Caenorhabditis elegans: one gene and its partners. The protein of the gene in region 1 interacts with the protein of each later gene in a pairwise test. Each region holds a gene or a part of one and is shown in the gene's direction. Other genes may lie near its edges.

The links.
Region 2: the proteins of rab-8 (region 1) and ehbp-1 interact in a two-hybrid assay, tested with the Caenorhabditis elegans proteins (one study listed by BioGRID).
Region 3: the proteins of rab-8 (region 1) and tbc-2 interact in a two-hybrid assay, tested with the Caenorhabditis elegans proteins (one study listed by BioGRID).
Region 4: the proteins of rab-8 (region 1) and cnt-1 interact in a two-hybrid assay, tested with the Caenorhabditis elegans proteins (one study listed by BioGRID).

The regions. Positions count from the first base shown.
Region 1 is NC_003279.8:3,682,365-3,685,648, reverse strand, and holds rab-8 (Ras-related protein Rab-8A), read left to right. Parts: upstream 1-1,562; 5' UTR 1,563-1,589; coding exon 1,590-1,619; intron 1,620-1,666; coding exon 1,667-1,821; intron 1,822-1,868; coding exon 1,869-1,929; intron 1,930-1,988; coding exon 1,989-2,378; 3' UTR 2,379-2,759; downstream 2,760-3,284. Other genes in the region: D1037.1 (Protein SON), read right to left, coding at 1-346, 402-685, 761-847.
Region 2 is NC_003283.11:9,549,056-9,556,540, forward strand, and holds ehbp-1 (EH domain-binding protein 1), read left to right. Parts: upstream 1-1,588; coding exon 1,589-1,663; intron 1,664-1,705; coding exon 1,706-1,770; intron 1,771-1,942; coding exon 1,943-2,397; intron 2,398-2,448; coding exon 2,449-2,577; intron 2,578-2,897; coding exon 2,898-3,117; intron 3,118-3,166; coding exon 3,167-3,854; intron 3,855-4,304; coding exon 4,305-4,470; intron 4,471-4,570; coding exon 4,571-4,648; intron 4,649-4,726; coding exon 4,727-4,786; intron 4,787-4,879; coding exon 4,880-4,941; intron 4,942-5,563; coding exon 5,564-5,683; intron 5,684-5,797; coding exon 5,798-5,953; intron 5,954-6,001; coding exon 6,002-6,315; intron 6,316-6,572; coding exon 6,573-6,690; 3' UTR 6,691-6,977; downstream 6,978-7,485. Other genes in the region: nstp-10 (GDP-fucose transporter), read right to left, coding at 755-781.
Region 3 is NC_003280.10:5,823,312-5,829,367, reverse strand, and holds tbc-2 (PH domain-containing protein), read left to right. Parts: upstream 1-1,924; 5' UTR 1,925-1,941; coding exon 1,942-2,019; intron 2,020-2,202; coding exon 2,203-2,381; intron 2,382-2,425; coding exon 2,426-2,840; intron 2,841-2,884; coding exon 2,885-3,025; intron 3,026-3,072; coding exon 3,073-3,209; intron 3,210-3,258; coding exon 3,259-3,642; intron 3,643-3,689; coding exon 3,690-3,934; intron 3,935-3,985; coding exon 3,986-4,452; intron 4,453-4,500; coding exon 4,501-5,017; intron 5,018-5,068; coding exon 5,069-5,211; intron 5,212-5,261; coding exon 5,262-5,282; 3' UTR 5,283-5,512; downstream 5,513-6,056. Other genes in the region: gtap-1 (Dynein heavy chain 7, axonemal), read left to right, coding at 1-54, 412-577; ZK1248.11 (E3 SUMO-protein ligase NSE2), read left to right, coding at 782-1,027, 1,075-1,278, 1,481-1,636; ehs-1 (Eps15 (endocytosis protein) Homologous Sequence), read right to left, coding at 5,770-5,842, 5,890-6,056.
Region 4 is NC_003280.10:12,085,859-12,090,830, reverse strand, and holds the start of cnt-1 (Truncated cnt-1), read left to right. Parts: upstream 1-1,962; 5' UTR 1,963-1,969; coding exon 1,970-2,041; intron 2,042-2,086; coding exon 2,087-2,220; intron 2,221-2,358; coding exon 2,359-2,535; intron 2,536-3,189; coding exon 3,190-3,328; intron 3,329-4,210; coding exon 4,211-4,300; intron 4,301-4,972. UniProt on the Caenorhabditis elegans protein: GTPase-activating protein for the ADP ribosylation factor family. Regulates endosome recycling downstream of rab-10 and upstream of arf-6.

The DNA.
Region 1 (3,284 bases):
CTTTTTTCGGTTCTTGTCTTTCTCCTTACTTTTTTCATTTTCAGAATTATCCAGATTTCCATTTTCACATATATTTTTATTCTCCAAATTCTTTTCGATTCCTTCTGGTTCTTTAAAATCTCCATCTCCATATGCAATTTCTTCTATTTCTCCATCCTCAACTTCTTTCTTATTCTCGGCTTTTGGCAGAACTGTAGTGATGCTAATAGCCAGCTTTGTCTCTTTTTTCACTAAAGGGGTGCTGAAATCCGCGCCAAGCGGTAGATCATCGGCCTCATCTTTCCTTGGCGGCTCCTTAAATTCTTTCGGTTTGCCATTTTCGGTACTTGGCGCTTGCGGGATTAATCTGTAGTAATTTTTATTAGTTTAAATACTTATTTCGAATTTATTTTCGAACTTACTCATTTTTTGGCGCTTTTTCGAGATTTTTCTTCTCAATTTTTTCTTCCCTATGCTTTAAACGGCTCCTGCTTCTGCTTTTCCTACTCTTTCTGCTTCTTCTCCTCTCCTGACTACGCCCCCGGCTTCTGCTCCGGCTCCGGCTTCGACTTCTTGAACTAGACCAAGTTTTGGATCTTCTTCGAACTTTCTTGCTTTTCTTCGACTTGTGCCTGTGATGCTTCTTCGGCCTTTTCCCAACAAAATCTGTCTGATCGCATCCGGCTAGTTTATCCACTGAGAATGGCTGAAAATAATGATAATTAATTATAATTATATAATTCGATTTGTAAATTTTCCAGTACAATTTAAATTAATTTACTTTTTCCGACGATTTCACATCATTTAAAAGATCTTTAATGATGTCTTCACTGCAAGTTTTCGGGGTAATTCCCTCGCCATCGACCATTCTTGGAACTTTTTGACCTGAAAAAAGGTGATTTTTTGTTTAAAAAAAAGTTTTTCAAATTGCAAAACAAGAGGATACAAACGACGCTCCGTTTTTACGTTTTTACATCGTCATGGCCGTGGCCGCTGCGCGTTTTGTTTTCCTGCTGCACCGATACCACCACCTCGCCCCCTCCCAATAGTTTATTTTTGAAAAAGGCCCGTGACCACGATGTCTTTGTGAGCTGTCTAATCGATTCATTCCCTCAGTGAAAACAAATCTTTTTATTGCGAAATTTCCTCCAAATTTTATTCCTCAACACTCATTTGTCGCTTTCTTTGCGGACATTGTGTGGGAATTACTAATTACATACGTCTTCACATGACCCTTCAATATTGACCAGCTATCCTCAAACCAACTGAGCACACACACACAGCGTGACATCTGTTCATTTCTTTTTTTTTTTCATTTTTTGCGGTCATGAAACTTGGAAAATTCAATTTAAAAGTCTCATTTACTTTTAACTTTCGATTAAAATTGAAAAGAAAATTTAAAAAACAGTAAAACAAAACAAATAAAATTACAGTTTTTAAACAATTTAAAAAAATGAAAGGCTTTTGTACTTTTCGCTCCGGGACCCATCAGTGTCAAAAACTCAATGCACCTTTAATCTCACTTTATTTTAATTGTTTTTCTTCGATTTCGCGTTACTTTTCTATAGTTTTCCTATTTTCAGAGCTTTTCTCTCACTCACTCCAATAAAATGGCAAAAACTTACGACTACTTGTTTAAGGTGAGAACTTTTGCATGCCAAGATGTCAAGAAAACATCGTTTTACAGCTCTTGCTTATTGGAGACAGTGGAGTCGGCAAGACGTGCGTACTGTTCCGGTTCTCAGATGATTCGTTCAATAACTCGTTCATTTCAACAATTGGAATCGACTTCAAAATCCGTACGATTGAGCTCGATGGGAAGAAAATCAAACTTCAAATTTGGTGAGCTAGTTTTTATTAAATCCGATTTTATAAATATTTTTTTTCAGGGACACAGCCGGGCAGGAGAGATTCAGAACTATCACAACGGCTTATTACCGCGGTGCTATGGCATGTTTTATCAAAATTTATTTCACAAAATTTCAAATTTTAATTAATTTATCTTTCAGGGAATCATTCTGGTGTACGATATCACCAACGAGCGATCATTTGAAAACATCAAAAACTGGATTCGCAATATAGAAGAGCATGCGGCTTCGGATGTCGAGAGGATGATCATCGGCAACAAATGTGATATTGAAGAACGCCGTGAAGTGTCGCGGGACCGTGGAGAGCAGCTCGCAATCGAGTACGGCACGAAATTCCTGGAAACGTCGGCGAAGGCCAATCTGAATATTGATGAAGCTTTCTTCACACTGGCTCGTGATATCAAGAGCAAGATGGAGCAGAACGAGATGCGTGCCGGTGGATCAGTTTCGAATACGGGTCGTGTGAACGTCGGTGGATCGGGGACACAGAAGAAGAGCTTCTTCAGCAACTGGAGCTGCAATTTGCTTTAAATTTATTGCTCTCTCGCCATGTTCTGCCCTTTTCGAAGTTGATTGTGATTCAATTCAATTCAACTTCAATAGTGTACCATATCTCTTTTCATATTTTCTTTCCGTTTGAATTTTCTGTTCCAAAAACTCCTCCTTCGCACATTTTTGTATGCAGTACGGTTATAATTCTAAAAATAACCTTTTTTCTTCTCTCTTCTCTTCTGACCATAATAACCAACACTTGCTTTGTTTTTACCATTTTCGTCCCGTCTATTTCTCTGTGTCCGCTCTCTCTCGCATATTCAATTCACCCCCCTACACCCAGCATTCTGATGAGATTTCTTTTCAGGATTTCAGATTTATTTTTTTCGCGAATGTATGAACCAAATTGCATGTTTTCCCAAGTTTTTTGAATTTTCTGAATTTTGATCGAATATTGGGGTTTTGTCGGTCATGCAAATTAAAATTAATTTTTTCTAGAAGTTTTTTACTGAGCTTCTATTTTGCAGAGTCAGATTCATATACCAGCGACATTGAATAGTAGAAAGTACCACAATTTTGAATAGTTAAACACGAAAAACGTTGCAAGTATTACGGAGACGCTAAGTTCTGAGAATGCGTATTGCACAGCATATCTGGCGCGCAAAATATCTCGTAGCGAAAACTACAGTAATTATTTAAATGCCTTCTGAAGTGTCGATTTACGGGCTGGTCTTTCGATACGATTTTTTTTTAAATTGTGACAACAATATTCGATTTTCCTCCAATTTTTCGTTTAAAAAAACTAAAGAAAATTGAATATCGTTGTCACAATTCGAACAAAAATTTGTTTCGAAAATAGAGCCCGTAAATCGACCTACAGTAGTCATTTAAAGAATTACTGTAGTTTTCGCTACGAGATATTTTGCGCGTCAAATATGTTGCGCA
Region 2 (7,485 bases), on another chromosome or scaffold:
ACGTTTATGAATGGTAGTTAAGGCGGGAGGCAGGACAAACATAGAACGTGGAAAACGTAGAAATGGAAGAGGACGAGAAACAGGCAACACCCGACAACTAGGCCATTGTTGTCGAGTTAATTGCGGGCATTGCTGCCGCAGTTTCTGCTCGATTATTCAGCTTTCTAAGGTTTTAAAGAGTTTGAATTCGTATAAAAATTATTTATAATTAATTGAGACATTTGTAAAAGTTTAACAAAGGTGAAAAAGTAGTTTGTTCACAATAAAATTAACAATATCGTGAGTAATTCTTTACCTGCTTAAGAAATAATCAATATCGAAATCGGCTTTTAACTTTTTTAAAAATATAATTTAATTTTTTAATTTGTGAGAATACAAACGCATTTATGGAGGGAATTACCAAGGAAATAAAAGAAATAAAAGAAAAACCCCTCTGCAAAAATTATTTCGGAAAAAAAATGTTTTCAAACAGAATAACAATGTGCAAACACGGCCACGTCGAATTACACAATATTCTATTTACAGTAACGTGTCTGCGTTTTTGCGTGACTGTGAATGCAGACGCAAAAAGACGTAAACGTTTTTCACGGCCCGGCAAGTGGTACATCCATGCAAATGCGCTCTACTGATAATTGGAGTGTAGACCTCTCCAATTTTTTATATGCATCATAAAAAAATACCACTTCTCGGGCCGTGTTTTTTAGACCAATTTTTGAAAACGGTTTTTCAATATATTGTTGCAATAAATATCTACTTTGTTGTTTTCTTCATGCAGTTTCATCGTATTAAATTAATTTTTGTCAAACAATCACTGTGGTTATGCATATAGTTCTCGATCAAACCATTTATGTTCCTCACGTTTATTAAATATCGCATTTTCGATAGCTCCTCATGTTTTCTGAAAACGTTACTTAATGGTGTTTTCAGAATAAAAATTAACTTATTTATTCTGACTGCCATTTTTTGTTTATGGGAGAACACTTGAACTTCGACGGCGCGCTGAGCAGAGTTAGTGTAACGGGCGCTGGCAGCTGACTGATACATAACGACGAACACTCGAAAAGTAGCACTTGTAACTAAATGCTAAATCGAAAACCTACCGAGAGCGTGAGAGATGGCAAGAAGTGGCCATAAATCTTTGTATCGGCGGTCTCAAGTGACCAATCCAACTCGATCTAGTAACATTACACGATGCTCTACTGTCAGATTGTTTTTGTTATTCTCTCCTCTCCCTTTCAGTTTTACTAAATTTCTATTGTTCATTTTCTTTAAAATAATACAAATTCTTGTGAATCACTGGATAAAATAACATATTTCAGACCTTCTCTTTGGAGCTCCAAATGCTCTTTTCTTTTTACCTCTGTCACTCTCTTTTCCTTCTAGTCTATCGCCTCTCGCTCATTTTATCAAATCTTCTCGCCGCCGTTGTCGAATGAGGAGGAGGAAGACGGCTGCGCCCATTCCTCTCGGTTTCCGCCGCCTTTCCTTTCTTCTCATCTCCTCAAATATCCATTTCCGTACGACAAATCGAAAAGAAATTCTTCGCATTACGCACCTGATTACCATTGTTTTAACATATAAATTGCAGATGGCGGGTATTCTTCGTCGACTTCGGAGATCCAATAAGAAAGCTGCCAAATTTAGATTTACAGTTACTCTTCAGGTTCGTTCTTGATACTTTTATCTCAATTGTTTATTATTTTAGGAATTACATCTCTACACCGACGAACAATGGAAACCAGAAAACCTTGCAGTTTCTTTCGTTCATAGGTGAATACATTTTCTTATCAAAGAATAATAAATGTCAATCAGAAAATAGACACAATGCATCATGATCATTATGGAAATTTGAAAAAAAAAGAAAAATATTCACAAGAAAATAATACGAATCGAAAATAAATAAAAAATTGTTCATGAAACCTTTATCATACAATTTTTACAGACGACGAAAAGTATCATCAAAGGAACGAAAATGGGAAGAATGTTCGGACGCTAACAAATGTTTGATTATGTGGCCTGAGCAATTTTCAGAGAATATAGATATTCTTACAACATTATATCGTATTGCAAGTGATGAATATGAAGATAAAGAATGGACGATTGTTGTTGAAGAAGTAACTGCTAAAGGAAAAAGAAAAGCAATTGCAGCAGTGCCACTCAATGTTCGCTTATTTATTCTGGATCTACCCGATCATAAAAGTGAACTGAAGCTCAAGCTCCGTCCATTGACGCCTCATTTGAAATTGTGTTCCCTGATTATTCTTCTTGGAAGTTCTCTTATTTCGGAAGTAAATGCAGATGATGTTAGTATTACTTCGTCAGCTGCAGCCTCTTTTGTTGAAAAAGTTCCAGTAACAGATGAAGTTGATGCGAGTGCAAATGATTCCAGAGCAGCAGGTATTTTGATTGAAAAAATACAGTTTATTTCACATAATTTGTTTTTTTAAGCTGCAAGACAACAAATCGACACGACAGCTACAAAAATGATGGAATGGATCAAAGAGGAAAAGGAAATCGCTCCGCCTATTGTTCCAGCACACCGAAAACCTTCCGGAGAGAATGAAAACCCTGCAAAAGGTAATTAGAAATCGTTTTTTAAACCTAATCGTTAGAATTTTTGGCTAGAATATTTTCATGGAAAAAAGTCATATAGCCTAAATTCGTGTGTGGTCATCAAAAAATTTGTAGATTTTTTTCATTTTTTTTTCAAGGAACATCGAAAATCGAAAAAAAAATTCGAAAATTATCCAGAAAATGATATATCAAAATTTGTTTATGTTGATGAAGAAAAAGGATTAAAAAAACCAAAATAAATACTCGAAATTTTTTTTTTCAATTTTTCGGAAAACGAAAAATCGAAAAACCGACACCCGTGGCTCTTATAGAATGTATTTCAGTTCGTCCCCAATGGAGAGTATCAGCTGAAGAAGAAAAAACGTCACAACCAGCAGCTCCAGCGCCAATTGCAACCAACAGACATAGTCGGTCAAGCCGTGCTTCGACAGAAGAAAAAGCGTCTACAACAATAGAATTCCGTGTGGATTCCAATTCTCGGCATGTTCCAGTTACAGCAATCGCTACACCATATTATCTTCAAAGTGGAACAATGAGTAGAGGGTATTGTTTGGTTACTTTTCTCACAATCATAATTTTTTTTCAATTTCAGAAGATCAAATTCTCCGAGAGCTCCATCTAGAGATGCTGTCCCTCAACCGATCGATGGAGAGACTTTACTTTCATGGTGTCAGAGAGTTACTAACGGATATTCGCATGTAAAAGTTAATGATTTTATGAAATCTTGGAACAACGGATTGGCCTTGTGTGCAGTTCTTCATTCTTATCGCCCGGATCTCATTGGAGATTACGAAACACTGGATATCTCTAATAATATGTCTGGACGCATTTCGAATATTCAAAGAGCCCTCGATTCACTTACTTTGATAGGAATAACAGAAGTACCAACAGTTGATATGTTTCTGACTCCTGATCGGAAACAAATAGAATTTCTTCTTCAACATCTTCGCCGAATCTTTGAAGGATTTGACGAGGGATCTACACCAGCCAGTGCTTCTGATCACAGAATATCCAGAACATTTGGAATTAATGAATCCGAAGAAAAAGTTGTTGCCATGATTACAGAAATTCGAAATCAAAAAGATCTCGAAGAAGCTGTGGATTATAGACACATTCCTGATGAAGTTCCTGTTACACCACAGTTGGCTAGTCGCAATCCGGCTCTCAATCAACCAACTGACGCTGATGACGATGATGCTGAAACTTCAAATATGCGCTTTGAGAGAAGTAATGTAAGCATAACCATGGTGACTCCAGGAGTTGGAGCAATTCGTGCATCGGTGAGTTTTTATTGAAAAAAAAAATTTTAAAATTTTAAATATTTAGTTTTTGTTTTTTTGTTGAATTTCGAATTGAATAATGCTAATTATTTAAAATAGTTATTGAAATCTTTTTTCACTTCAATTCTACCATTTTTAAGATACTTTGTGTGTATAATATAACTGAAATTATAGGAAAAAAACAGGTTCTTTCAATCGTCAGATTTCTTGGTATATTTTCTTATTTTATTTTTTTAATGCAATTTATAAGGTTATACATAACTGAACATTTCCTACTACCATATAACAGCTTGATAAAAATTGCGACACAACTTAAAAAACTTATTAAATACTCGCCCTTATAAAACTCAATTACATTTGTTCCCAGCGAAATAGTCTAATCAATTCTTTTTCCTAATAGATATCCAATTTTACGAGATTCTTATTTTTGAAAATCTTTACAACTTTCAGAATCGTGCATCACCTTCAAAGCGAGATGAACTACGCCAAAGAGCACGTGATTTAATTGAAAAATCAACAACTCCTGCAGCAACACCAAATTCACGGAAAGCGAGTGATGAAGAGAGAAGACGCGAAGAGGTCAGACGGATGCTGAACGAAAAGCAGCATCCAACGGGTGAGAAGTTTTTAAAAACACAAAAGTTGTCGTGATTCTCTATAGTAATCTCCTTTGTTGTGATTGTTTTAATTATTTCTACCGTGTGTTCCCATTTCAGCAATCCCCTCTACTTCATCATCACCATATCCCACTTTCCGTCGTATCGATGGATCAAATACCGATCTTCGTCGTATTGGTTTGTAACATTTTCAGATCATGCTCCGATTTAATTGTTTTAGTGTTGTGACAAAGCATGTAGTGAATTTATTTTCAGAACTCGATGTACACAAGTTCAAGAAACGTGATCCATCTCCGACGCTCGTCCGCAAACAATGTACATTTTATTATTTCCTCATAGTGCAGTGATTTTTAACATGTCAATTGCATTATTAGGAACAATTTCATCTTAATTTTGTTTTAATTACAGACGATCCCAATGATACTCCTCATGTGCCAGCAATTGGTCGTGGCAGAACAAATGGAAATCGGGTCAGTCATTAATATATTTAAATTCTCGGCATTTCGTGCCTACTTTCTCCCACCTTTTCGCCTTCCGGCAAAAAGGTGGGAGAAAGAAGACGCGAAATGCCGAGTTAACAGTTTAATCCCGAATAGAGCATTATTGGCAACACCGATTCAGGAAAAATATGTGTACCTTTAAAGATACAGTTACTTCAAATCCTCGTTGGTGAGGTATTTTCATAGATTTTTCATAGTTTTTCGATAAAACTTTTTTTTTTATAAAAAACTAAAATAAAACAATAAAACACACATAAATTTAAAAAAAAACTATGAAGAATCGATGAAATATCGACAAATACGAGAGCTTGAAACCTTGCGTCAAGACCAGCTACCGTATATTTTGTCGCAAACTATTTTGTCAGTGTAATAAGTTGTCTGATTTTCAATTTTAAACATTTGAGTATTATTTTAAGCTTTAAATATGAATGTTGTCAATTAGCTGTCAATACCACTAGCAATCCTCATTTCTATCTAACCATAATTTTTCTTTCGTCGATATTATCTTTAGTTCTTCTCTGTTCTATATTTTCTTTTTTATCATACACCGCATTGTACAGTATGCCTAACAAGTGTTTTGCTCACATTTCAGAACGATTCATCAACTCCTTCATCAGCTTCTACATTTGATCGTGTCAAGAGATATGGGAGTATGCGTAGTGCAGAATTGAAAGAATCGTTGCAGTTGATGGCGAAACAATACGGATACATGGTTTGTGATGTTGTAAAAAGTGTAATGTAATGATTTTTGCTTCTATTTTAATCAACATAAAATTTAATCATGGGTGCAAATTGAAAGTTACCGTCTAAATGTTATTATTTTTAGGGAAACGATTTCGAATCATCTTCGCAAGACGCTCTGGCGACACCAACCAAAAAGTTCTCTTCCCAATGGGAAAAAGACGTCGATGACGTTGAAGGAACCGCCAATGAGCTTGTTCGTATTGACGAACGTATATCGGATATTACAGCACAAGCCGATGTAAGATTCTGAGAATTAAAGGATTAATTCAGTTTGTTTTGTTTTCAGGTTATTCAAGACAAGATCCGTGAAACAGAAGTTGGAAGTTCAGAAGAAGAAATGTTGACTGCATCATATCTTGAGTTGACAAATGAACGGAACACTCTTGTACATCGACAGGAATACTATAATATCATTGAGACAATTCGTCAGGTTACTTCGGAAATTGACCAATTGGGAAAACAAATCAATGAAGTTCCTGATGATTTCCCTCGTTCTGATGAGAATAAGACGGCAACGGATAAACTGATTGAACAATATAGTGATGCTATGAAAACAAAAAGTAACTTGGTTCAAAAGTTATTTGCAACTGAGGACGAAATGTAAGTGTTTATTGCTTTGTTGAACCACGTGGTGTCAGGCTGTCCCATCACGGTTTGATCTACAAAAAATGCTGGAATTTTTCGCCTAAGAAAGTGCCGTCAGCACGTTCTTAACCATGCGAAATCAGTTGAGAACTCTTCGTCTCAACTTCCGAATTTTTTGTAGATCTACGTAGATCAAACCGAATGGGACATTCTGACACCACGTAATAAACTACTTTCAGTGAAACTAATGAAACAACATTCGAAATTTTCAGCGAAGAAGATTCGGATCGTTTGAAGAACCTTACTTTGGATAGGGCTACTCGCTTTGTTCGTGGAATAGATCAGCCTGTTTCAGCATCGAAGCGACTTATTCAATGGTGGCGCCGTTAATACGCTTCAACGTTATTTATTACTCAATTTAAAACTACGGGTCTTCTTCTCTTTCTGAAAACAAAGTTTCTCCCAGTGTCCCTTTGTTATCTTCTATCATTTTTTCTCCTTTCCATAATTCACTCTTTCCCGTTTTTTTGGCAAATTTTTAGGAGTTAATCAAAACATCAAATTTTTCTCTATCTTTTCATCTCTATGTGTATATTTTTGTATTCAGTTTTCTTTTCTCTCGGTGCACACAAATCCAAATGCTTTCAGCTTTCAATAAATCAATTCAGAGTTTTAAATGATGTTCAGCAAAAATTCATTCGAAAAAAGAGGAAAGTGTGTGGAAGACTGGTGAAAAATACTTTACACGTGGAAATATTTAGCGTAGAGATCAAACAAGTGGGATAGGAAAAAGCAAGCTCGAATTGTGAGGGAATGTACTGAAAGAAAAAACAAATAAATTTGAGAAATTGAGTGATATGGTTAAAAAATGAATCGCATTTTGCAGGAAAAAATACTCGTATGCATTAATTTGAAGAAAAATAGATGAGAAGAATAAACTTAATATTGTACTCTCATATTACGAGAACACTAAATCCTGAGAAGGCGTATTGCGCAACATATTTGACGCGCAAAATATCTGACCGAAAACTACAGTAACTTTTTAAATGACTACTGTAGTGCTGGTGTCGATTTACGGGATCGATTTTCACTTATGTTCGAATTGCGACAGTGATATTCAGTTTTTCGTATTGTTTTGTCATTTTTGTGTTTCTTTTAATATTTAATCGATTAATAAAATGTTTC
Region 3 (6,056 bases), on another chromosome or scaffold:
GGTTCATGAAAATATGGATATGTTTATGACTATGACAGATGAGATACGGTTACGGTAAGTTATACAATTATTAAATGCAAACATTTAAATTAATATTTTGGCACTTTCAATGCCATTGGATTTAAATTTCAACTTTCAGATCAGATCAAAAAGTTTTTCCACCGAAAACACAAAAAAAGCAACAAAAAACCAAAACTAAGAATTATTAAGTTTGAAACTTCATTTTGAAAATCTAAAACAAGTTGACCAAAATTGTACTTTCTTTTAAAATTTCGACTTTAATTTTTTTCTACTCAAAATTGTTTTGTGAAGCATAATTTTTCGTATTTTTTTCCAAAAAAAAAAACATTTACAGCCATGACTGCAGCTTTTTTGATTGAGCTTTTTAAAATGAAAAATTACTATTTTCAGATCAGTCTCCAACACGTTGGATCTTGACTATTTGGATCGATGTGAAACAAGTGTTCGAATTACTTTACAAAAGCTGCTTTCTCTACACGAAGCTTGGGGAAACGACAAAGATTCCATATTTTTCCATCTTTCTGTCCGAATAGGAAAATTGAATATGGGTACCTAATCACTTCTTATTCACTGCCTGGTTTTTATCGCCTTATGTTCAAAATTTTCATGCATAATCACTTTCTGAAAATATGGGTTAATTCAATAAAAAATTTTAAATTTTAAATGTTCATTTGTAGGCTAATGTTATTCGTATATAACGATTTTTGAATTATCTTTTTTTGTTATTTAGAAGTTCAATAAGTTGTGAAATCCCTTCCAGATGTCTACCCAGCTCGCCACTAGTATGGAAATTATTCGAAAAAGTCTGAGAAAGGCTGCTGAGGATGTTCTTCATATCAATTCAAAAAATGCTATTTCAAATGAAGTAGATTCTGAAGAATTCAAAGAAACATTGATGAAAGATGCAATGAAGTTGATGGAATTGGAGACTGAAGGTGCTCAAATGCAACACATTTTTGAAGCGTTGCATAATGACCTGAAAGATGGTTCAGACGAGGTTCCGAATGTACGTTGCAGATATTTAAACAAATTATATTAATAATAATTTTGCAGGAAAAAGCATTGGAGGAGTTATACGAGAAGGCGAAAAAAACCCATAAAAATGTGAAAGGCGAGCGACAGTACTTCAAAGACATTATCAAATCTATAAGGGATGAAAGTAAAAACGATGAAAATGAAATGGAAGTGATGCAAGTTCAACATAGTAGAAAGGATCCAATTTCGAAGAAAGATATTGTCAATCCAGTTATCAGTAAGGTAAGTTTTTAACATTTTTTCTCTATTTTTCAACATTTCATCCCCGTCTTGTCATTCGGGTTGTGCAAATATATCATCTGCAATTTATGACTCATTATTTTTTGATTGACCATCCTTGTTCGTTTATTTATCTTTCGAAACATTTCATCACCACCAAATTGCAACAAAAGTTTTATTTTATATCAATAAATCAATATTCCAGAACTGTGGACACGTCTACGATAGGGATTCAATTCATGAGTTTGCTGGCAAAAAGCGAGTTATCAAGTGTGCAATGCAAGGATGCTCTGAAACTATCAACATCGGCCAACTCGCCGATTATCCCGATTACTGGACGAATATTAAACAGCAACAATAAATTATTTGATGACTAATTTTAGTCATCTCTTAATCATTTCATATTGATCTCTTACTCTATTTCATTTTCACTTCACTTCTCAATACCTCTTCCTGCATTTCACTTCTTTTTTTCTCATTTTGTTTCATAAAAATTCGATACGTTCTCTCCCTCTCCGTTCGCCACCTTCCCTCGCCTGGTGGTCGAATAAAAAACCAGTTTGTCCAGTGCGATGAGTCGTTGAACATACGATACAAATACTACTTTTGTTATTCTTTCTAAATCTCTCATATCTATTCCTACTTTCAGAACTTCAGATAACGCGGATGTCTGCGGCGCCGGGGACAATCAGCCCACCAGCTCGCGAACTAAAAACTTCGGCAATCTGTGGATACTTGCATCGGGTACGGTAGTTTGGCCTAAATATATTATTTTCGGAAAAATTTCCAGAAAATTTAAAGATTTATTTTAAAATGTCCAGAAAATTTTAAAATGACATTACTATTTTAAATTTGATCCCGAAGAACTTTTAAAAACATTAAATGCCAATCTTAGGAATCAACAAAAATGATATCCACTGTTTCCAGATCGAAGTTCGTTCGATCGGTCTGATAACACGCCGTCGCTATTGGTTCGCACTCTGTGACTCAACTCCATATCTTTACTGGTATAAAGATTCAGATGACATAAAATGTATCGGAAGAGTCTCATTGAGTGGCGCAGCATTCACTTATGATCCAAGAGAAAAAGGCCGTTTTGAAATTCAGTGAGTTTAATATAATTAATTCGTTAAAAATCGACTTATTTCAGCTCTAACAATGAAGTAATTGCGCTGGAATGTAGTTCAGACAAGCAACGCAATGAATGGATGAAAGCTCTTCAAAGTACACGGAAAAGAAGCTGGAAGGCAACGAAATCAAAATCTGATTCAAGTCTAGATATTTCGTCTTTAACGGGAAGAAATTCGTCTTCGGTCCTCGAAGAATGCTCGTCTCCTTCTCCAGTACCACCACCAAGAAGTCCAAAACCAAAGAAACGAACACAATTCCTAACTGAAGAAGAAACAGACGCTGAAACATCTTCTGATGTTCCTCACTCATCTGAGGAAACTGCCGAAGTGGTTGAAGACACAGACAACACGAAAATACCAGCTGAAGGATCTGCAACGGAATGGTATTTGAATCCAAATGGACAGCTGAATGAACGATCTCTACAGATGCCAAAGGTAAGTGAACATACAACTTGAAAACTTTCAAATTATACTTTCAGACAATCGAAAGCCCAGAAACTGTATTAAAGCGACTAGCTGATCAAAGTATAGAAGCTCCTTTTCGAGCTATTCGAAGAAATCTTTCGACTTGGAGCAGAAGTCGGCAAAATACGTCCGATGAACCAGTTGTTGGAAGTAGAGTATGTTCAAATAGTGATCAAACATTCACTATGAGTAAAATTTTCAGAAAGGTACAGTATCTTCTGTTGATCTAACTCCTGAAGAGAAAGTTATTGAATTGTCTGATAAAGTTTCAAGTCTGGAGGAAGTTGTCGATTCGCTGAGAGCTGCTCTTCTACTAGCTCAAAGAAATAATGAAGCACTGTGAGTTTTATTATTTAATTAAAATCATAATAAATTGTTGAAATTTTAGTCAGAAAATCGAGGATATGGGAGATAATAAGGAGGAAATGCGAGAGTATATACTGGAAAAGGAGCGACAAGTCACCGAATTACATATTTCGAATAGCATGAATGCTCGACGAGTTCGTGATCTTGAAGATCAAAATGTAAGGCTTGAGGATACGATCAATGATTTGCAACAATCAGTAGAAGCTTTCCGAGAATCATTACGAACAAAAGAAGAGCTTATTCTTCGAATGTGTGAAGAAGAAAATCGAGAAGACTTACTAGGATCGATATCTGAAAGAAGCTCGAATATTCCTGCAGACGCAAATGGACTTGTATCGGATGTTGAGGTTCCTGAAGGCATTCTTGTCGATGTATCATCAGTTGATTGTGAAGAAGCTACCAGGAAGTACGAATTTATTTTTACAATTTAAATTTTAAAGTATTTTATTTTAGGGTTCTAGACGAAGAAAATGTTCGTGATATTGGAGAACTTCAAGATCTCGTAGAAGGATACCGTACCCAGAATCAGTTTTTGAATGCGGAAATAGTCCAATTGCATGCTATCACTCAATCTCTGGAAGATCGAGAGAAGAAGCTGATTCGTCAAAATTTCGACCTCGAAGCCTGCTATTACCAATTAAAAAGCCGTTATTTGATGGTTCTAAACCATTTTAAGTCTCCGACAAAACCAGGAAAAAGTGAGTTTTTAAACAATTTTCTGTTATAATATAATCACTTTTGCTCTACAGTAATGGAACCTGGTGTGTTGAAAGAATTACTCGAAGAGTCGGCAAGAACACCTCGAGAATCTCAGCAAAACCTCACGGATCAGTTGGGATTCTATAAAAAGGATGATTTTTCTGAAAGCGATGATCTTTTGGATACTGCCACGTTTTACATGAAAAAAGCGGGAGACGTAGTGGAAGCAACGAAATTGGAACAATCTGAAGAATACATGAAATGGTTACAATCGTGGGATGCGTTCCTTGTCAACAATACAGTATCCCGGCAGACTGCAATCATGTCTTCACCTGATCTAAAAACTCTTATTCGAACTGGAGTACCACCTGCCTACAGAGGTCGTGTATGGAAGATAATTGTGACACATTGGGTGAAGGATAAGCAAGCAGAATTGGGTAATGGATACTATCAAAGTATGCTCAGAAAGGCTGGAACAAAGAAGCAGGATGGAAGTTACGATGCAGCCATCAAACAGGTATATTTATATTATTCTAAATTCGAGTTTCTCATATTATTTTTTCAGATTGATCTTGACCTCGCTCGAACTCTGCCCACGAATAAACTTTTCGACGAGCCAGATTCTGCTAACATAGAAAAACTACGAAACGTACTCTACGCCTTCCGATACCATAACTCTCACGTCGGCTACTGCCAAGGACTCAATCGTCTTGCTGCAATTGCTCTGTTAAACCTGGATGAGCAGGATTCGTTCTGGTTCCTTGTAGCATGTGTGGAACATCTCCAACCTGAAGGATATTACACTAGCTCACTGATCGGAGCGGTTGCCGATCAGAAAGTTCTCCGCGATCTTGTAGCAGAAAAGCTTCCAAAATTGGCTGCACATTTGAGAGCTCTTGAAGTTGATCTTTCACTTTTCGCGCTCAGTTGGTTCCTGACGTGTTTTGTAGATGTACTCCCGCATTCTATTTATCTGACTATATTCGATGCATTCCTCTATGAAGGAAATAAGGTTCTTTTTCGATTCGCACTGGCACTTTTCAAAATATGCGAACCTCACGTTCTTCAATGTAAAACTATTGGTTTGTGACTTACAACTTTAAATTTATTAGTTTTTTAACAAGAATTTTCAGGCACAGTTCATCAATGTCTCAGCAAAGCTCAAGAACATATCATTGACTTCAAGTCGCTAGCTCAAGTGGCATTCAACGAACTGAATCCGTTCCCTCAGAAGACTATAGAAACTAAACGACAACTCTATTTGACACAATTGAAGGTAAACAGTAATATATAAATAAATTCTAATATAGCGATTATTATTTTCAGGATACTGGCCACTGTATGTAAATCCGACACGAACATTCTTGTACATCTAATCTGTATTTTCTTTCGATTTCTAGCATAATTATGTCTTCTTCACACAACTTTTTCACTATTATTTTCAAACTTCTGTGATTCTCCTTTTTCCTTATCAATTTCTTTTACGGTTTACTTCCCCCCCTTCAACCCGTTTACTTGTGCTCCGTTTTTACACATGAGACTGAAAATATCAAATACGCAACATAAAATTAATCTGCAAATCATTTACTATATATTATAACTCATAATTTACATAATAATCATGCATATTCATATTCTACAGTATATAACATTATTGCTCTGATTTCATAACCTAGAAAAGTGACAATTCAAGTGGGAAAGTGCAAAAAAACTAATCTTAAAAATGTGCATCAATAAATTATGTCGATGACTTGGCACAGGTAAACATTTGGGCAAAGTAAAACAATTTGACTGGCGTTGGGGCTTATAGTGGGTAAGGTATAATTATTAAAAATCAATTGAAAGCCGATCCAAAGTCCGCAAAATCAGCGAATCCAGCCGGTTGAGTTGATTGTCCTTGTGATGGGCTGAAATTATTTAGACTTTAAATAAATTGATACTCACTAAGACTTACGCAAAAGGATCATTGACAGGTGTTTCGCGAGCAGATTTTGGAGGAGCTGGGCGAGGTGGAGCAGGTTTTGCGGGAGCCGATTGTGCGAAGCCAGAATCCGATGGGAAGCCTCCTTGAGCAAATGGATCAGTTGGGAAAGCGGCATCAAAATGTCCAGATGAGCCGAA
Region 4 (4,972 bases), on another chromosome or scaffold:
ACTGCAATTCCGGCAATTTACCAGTTTGCCGATTTGCCGGAAATTTCAATTCTGGCAATTTGCTGGTTTGCTGAATTGCCTAAAATCTCAATTCCGGCTGTTTGTCATTTTGCCCATTTGCCGAAAACTGCAATTCCGGCAAGTTGCCTGGTTTGCCGATTTGCCGGAAATTTCAATTCCGGCTGTTTGTCATTTTGCCGATTTGCAGGAAGTTTCAATTCTGGCAATTTGCCAATTTGTCGAAAACTTTCAATTCCGACAAGCTTGTCGATTATCCAGAAATTTCAATTCCGGAAATTTGTCGATTATCCAGAAATTTCAATTCCGGCAATTTGCCGATTTGCCGATTCGCCGGAAAATTCAATTCCGGTAATGTGCCGGTTTGCTGATTTGCCGATTAATTTTTGAGCTTTTTTGCAATGTTTCCAAGTCAAATAAAACATATTTTCAGATAAAAAAATTTTTTTATTTTATCACTAAATTTTGATGAAAAAAGTATTTTTTGTTGGATAATCACGTGGTGCCAGGCTGTCCCAACACGGTTTGATCTACAAAATTGCGGGAACTTTTCCCGCAAAAAATGTGACGTCAGCACGCTCTTAACCTTGCGAAGTCAGTTGAGAAGTCTGCGTTTCAACTCCCGCATTTTTTGTAGATCTGCGTAGATCAAACCGAAATAAGACTCTGGTACCACGTGTACATATGTGTAATGTTGTTGCATTGCAAAATTCCAATTTCCCCGTAACTCTTTCTCGTCTGCCTAGAAAAGCAAAGTAAGAGAATATTAAATTAGTTGCGCTCTCGGTGCCTCCCCTTCTCCTCCTCTCACCCAATTTCATTCTCAAGCTCTCTCCACAAAAAAAGAGTATTGAAAATCAAGAGAGTTCCTAGAGAAACAAGCAGTGAATGTTTATATACGACTGTCCTTTTTCTCCAAAAATTTCGTCCTTTTCTTCTTCCCCCCACAAACACAATGACCTCCGTCCGAAAAGTTGTCGCGATGTTCTTCTCCCGCCGTCTAACTGCCTGCGTCTCTTCTCTATTTCTCTCCCTCGTTTTCCTGTTCATCACCATCATCATCAGCGGCAGCCGTAGCGGCAAGAGAGAAGAAGAACCGGCTGTTTTTCTGTTTTTTTTTTCTGTTCTGAGGCTTTTGTTACGTGTCTTGGAATTTTTCTCTTTTTCCTTTATTGTGCGAGTGATATGGACTTTTGGTTTTCTTTAAAGGCGCATACGGAAGTTTAAGTTGTTGAAAAAAACATTTGAAAATGTTTTTTTTTTTAATTTCAAAAGCCACGTGGCATATTTACAGCCACTTATCAAAAAAAAAGTTTTTTTACCCAAAAATTGTTGGTCGTTTTTATAGGATTTTTTTTGCGAAATTTTGGAAATAAAATTAATTTTAAAATTTAAACTTAAAACTTTTATTTTAACATTGGGAAAATTTTGTTATTTTCCATAAGTTTCGATAATTTTTGTACAGAAAAATGGTGATAAAATTAGTTTTTCTTCTAAAAATCGGACTTTTCAGACTTTTTTGAATTTTTTTCAAGTGAAAAATTTAAGCAATTTTTTTAAAATCAAGACTGTTTTCAGTTTATTTTTCTATTTTTAGCTATTAAAAATGAAAATTTTCAAGAGAAAAATGTTTTTTTACCATTTTTTCGACATTTTTTCTATTAAAATTGCGTTTTTAAAAACCAAATTAATTAATTGATAAACATGTGCTGTCAATTTCAATGCCAAGTACGCAAACACCACAGCTGCACAGTACCAGATCTACCGTACTCTTCAATTAATTAATTGAAGAGTACGGTAGATCTTGTTCTGTGCACCTGTGGTGTTTGCATACTTGGCATTGAAATTGACGACGCAATATTATCAATTAATTATTTTTGATTATTTTTTCTCAATTTTCAGCCGAAAAAACTCAATTTCTTCGTATAAAATCGATAAATTTCCAGATTTTATGACAGTATCAAACAATGGAATGGCGATGCCGTCTGTTCCGCCAAAAATCGACTGCTCCGAGGCAATTCAGGTAGAAATTCCCTCAAAATACACCAAAAACCTAAAATTTTTGCAGGATTCTCCAAAATTCCGCGCAACAGTCGCTCAACATGCAATGTATTTTAATCGATTAGAGAATCGGCTCAACGAAATGCTCCGACACATCACTGCAATGATTGATTTCAGCAAAAATTATACGAACACGTTTTAGTACGTGAAAAAAATTCATTTTTGGGGTCTCGAAACGATTAAGCTTTCAGATTACTGTATTTTAAAGGCACATAGCGAAAAATAATCGTTTCAAAACCAAAAATTCAAATTTTCTCAAAAAATCCCCGTTTTTTCCAGCAAATTAACGGTTTCGGTGAATCAATTATGCGATGAAAGCTTCTCCGGCAATCCATTGGCGTCTACAACATTCCAAGGATTATCAGAAGCCTATGCACACACTGTTAACCTATTTCGCACGTATTTCGACCATTCAAATGTGGTCACTTTCACGAAACTGTCGAATTTCATTAAAATGTGAGATTTCCGGAGTTTTTTTTGGCGAAAAATCATAAAAATCGATAAATTCTGAGTTAAAAAGGCCGAAAATTACAAAATAACGAGTTTAAGCGAATTTAAATCAAAATTTCGTTTTACTTTAAATTTAGAGGTGAAAAATTCAAATTTCCCGCTGATTTACTAGATTATTCATTCTAGAGGTACAGAAAATTGACAAATTTGAACAATCGAAAATTTTAATTTTTTTTGAACTAAAGGTATTTGGATTGAGCTAAAAATTTTAAAAAAATTTTTGAGCCAGAAAACTTCAAAAAAATTTCTATATTGGAAAAAATTAATTAATTAATTAATTAAATAAATTAAAATTCCTGTAAAAAAATTTGCAAAAAAATAGGCAAAACTCGATTTTTTCTCGGGTTTTTTGGTAATTTTTCAAAAAAAAAATCTTTTTTGAAAAGTTGAATTTCCCGCCAAATTAAAAAAAAAATCAATTTTACGTATAAAACAATATAAGGCAATTTTTTTCGAAAAATAATAAATTTCCAGCCAAAATTCAAGTGTTTTTAACCAAAAATCGCATAATTCACAACAGAAAATTGAAAATTCAATTAAAAATTAGATTTTTCGAAATAAAAAAAATTCAAAAATGTTTCCTCTAAAATCTAATTTAAGTGAGCTCACAAAAGTGGCAGAATCCCGTGCACATTTTGAGAATATGTCCCAATCAATGGATGATGCATTAGTCAAAAATGCGAGTATTTCAAGGCAAAAGCCTGCAGATGCGACAGAAGGGCGAAATGCACTTACTGCGGTGAGTTTTTTGAATTTTCAACGAAAAATATTCGAAATTCTCGATAAAAAACCAAAAAAAAATTCATCCAAATTTTTGAAAAAAATTTCTTTCTAAAAATAGGTATTGTACTGAAATTTTTTTTTACAAATTAAAAAACAGATATCTTTTTTTCGCCAAAAAAATTACTTAGTGATTTTTTTTTGTAAATTTTTAAAATTTTTTCTTCGAGAAATATAAAAATCGTAAATTAATTTTTGCAACAAAAATTATTGATTCATCAAAAAAATGTTAACTTTACTGAAATTTTTTTTTTAAATTTAATTTTTCGAAAAACTAAAAAAAACAGAGAAAAAAACCTAATTCAAAATCGACTTTCTTGAAAAATGCCCATTTTTACTGAAAAGAAATTTAAAAACATTTCTTTTGTAATTTTTTAAAGATTTATATTTTTCGAGAAATATAAAAATCGTTAAAGCGAACAATCAATTTTTTGAAAAAAGAAATATTGATTTATCAAAAAAAGCCGATTTTACAGTAAAAAAAATTCCAAATATATTATCTTCTTTTTTATTTTTTTCAAGATTATTTTATTTTTCGAGAAATTGTTAAAATAAATAATTGATTAATTTTTGGATAAAAATTTAATAATGTTACTGAAAAAAAAAGAATTTTCTGAAAAAAAAAGTCTATTTTTTAAACAATAAATCGAAAAATTTAAAAATGTTCTTAACAAAATCAAAATTTCTGGTTATATAAAACATTCAATTTTGTCGTTTTTTTTTTTGCTTCACCTTAAATAGTTTCTCACAAAGCGTCTCAATTGCAAGAAAAACCACTCAAAAACCCTTAAACAAATAAAAACATTTTTTTTTTCAAACCAAGAAACCCGCTCTTTTCCAGGTCGGCACTTGCTTCGCACACACCACACTCGACTACGTGGCAAATATTAATATTGCACATGCACACAAGGACCATATGATTCTCGATGCGGTTCGTTTTGAATTTTGAAAATTGTTGGTTAAAAAAATTAGAAATTCCCTCGGCTAATGTGAGAGTTATCACATAAAATAACGGAAACTTTTTTTTTCCAAAAATTTGAAAAAAATTCAAAATATTTTATTTTTAGCTGTAAGAGTTTTAGAAAGATCAATTTCTTGATTTTTTGCTCAAAAATTTAAGAATTTATAAATTTTTTTGTAGCCGTTTAACATTTTACTTTTGCCAAAAAAAAACATTAAAATAAAATTTTTAAAAAAATTTTAACTAAAAATTCAAAATATTTTATTTTAAACTGTAATGCATTAGAACTTTGTTAAAAAATTTGTTTTTGAATTTTTAAACTCAAAAACTTGAGAGTTTTGAAATTTTAAATTTTGCGAAAAAGCCCGAAATAAATTTTTTTAAAAGTTTTTTGACTCAAAAATTACAAAATTTCTCAATTTTTAGCAGTTTCGCATTATAATTTTTCACTAAAAATTTCAAAAAAACTTTTTTCCACTGTAGTTATAGTTTTGGTAAAAAAAAATCAAAAATAATTTTTTTCCCGTTTTTTACTCAAAAATTAAAAAAAAACATCTCAATATTAGCCATTTTCCTTTGAATTTTTCTTATTAAAATATTCAAAAACTTCCAACTTTTAGCCGTTTAGCATTCTAAATTTGG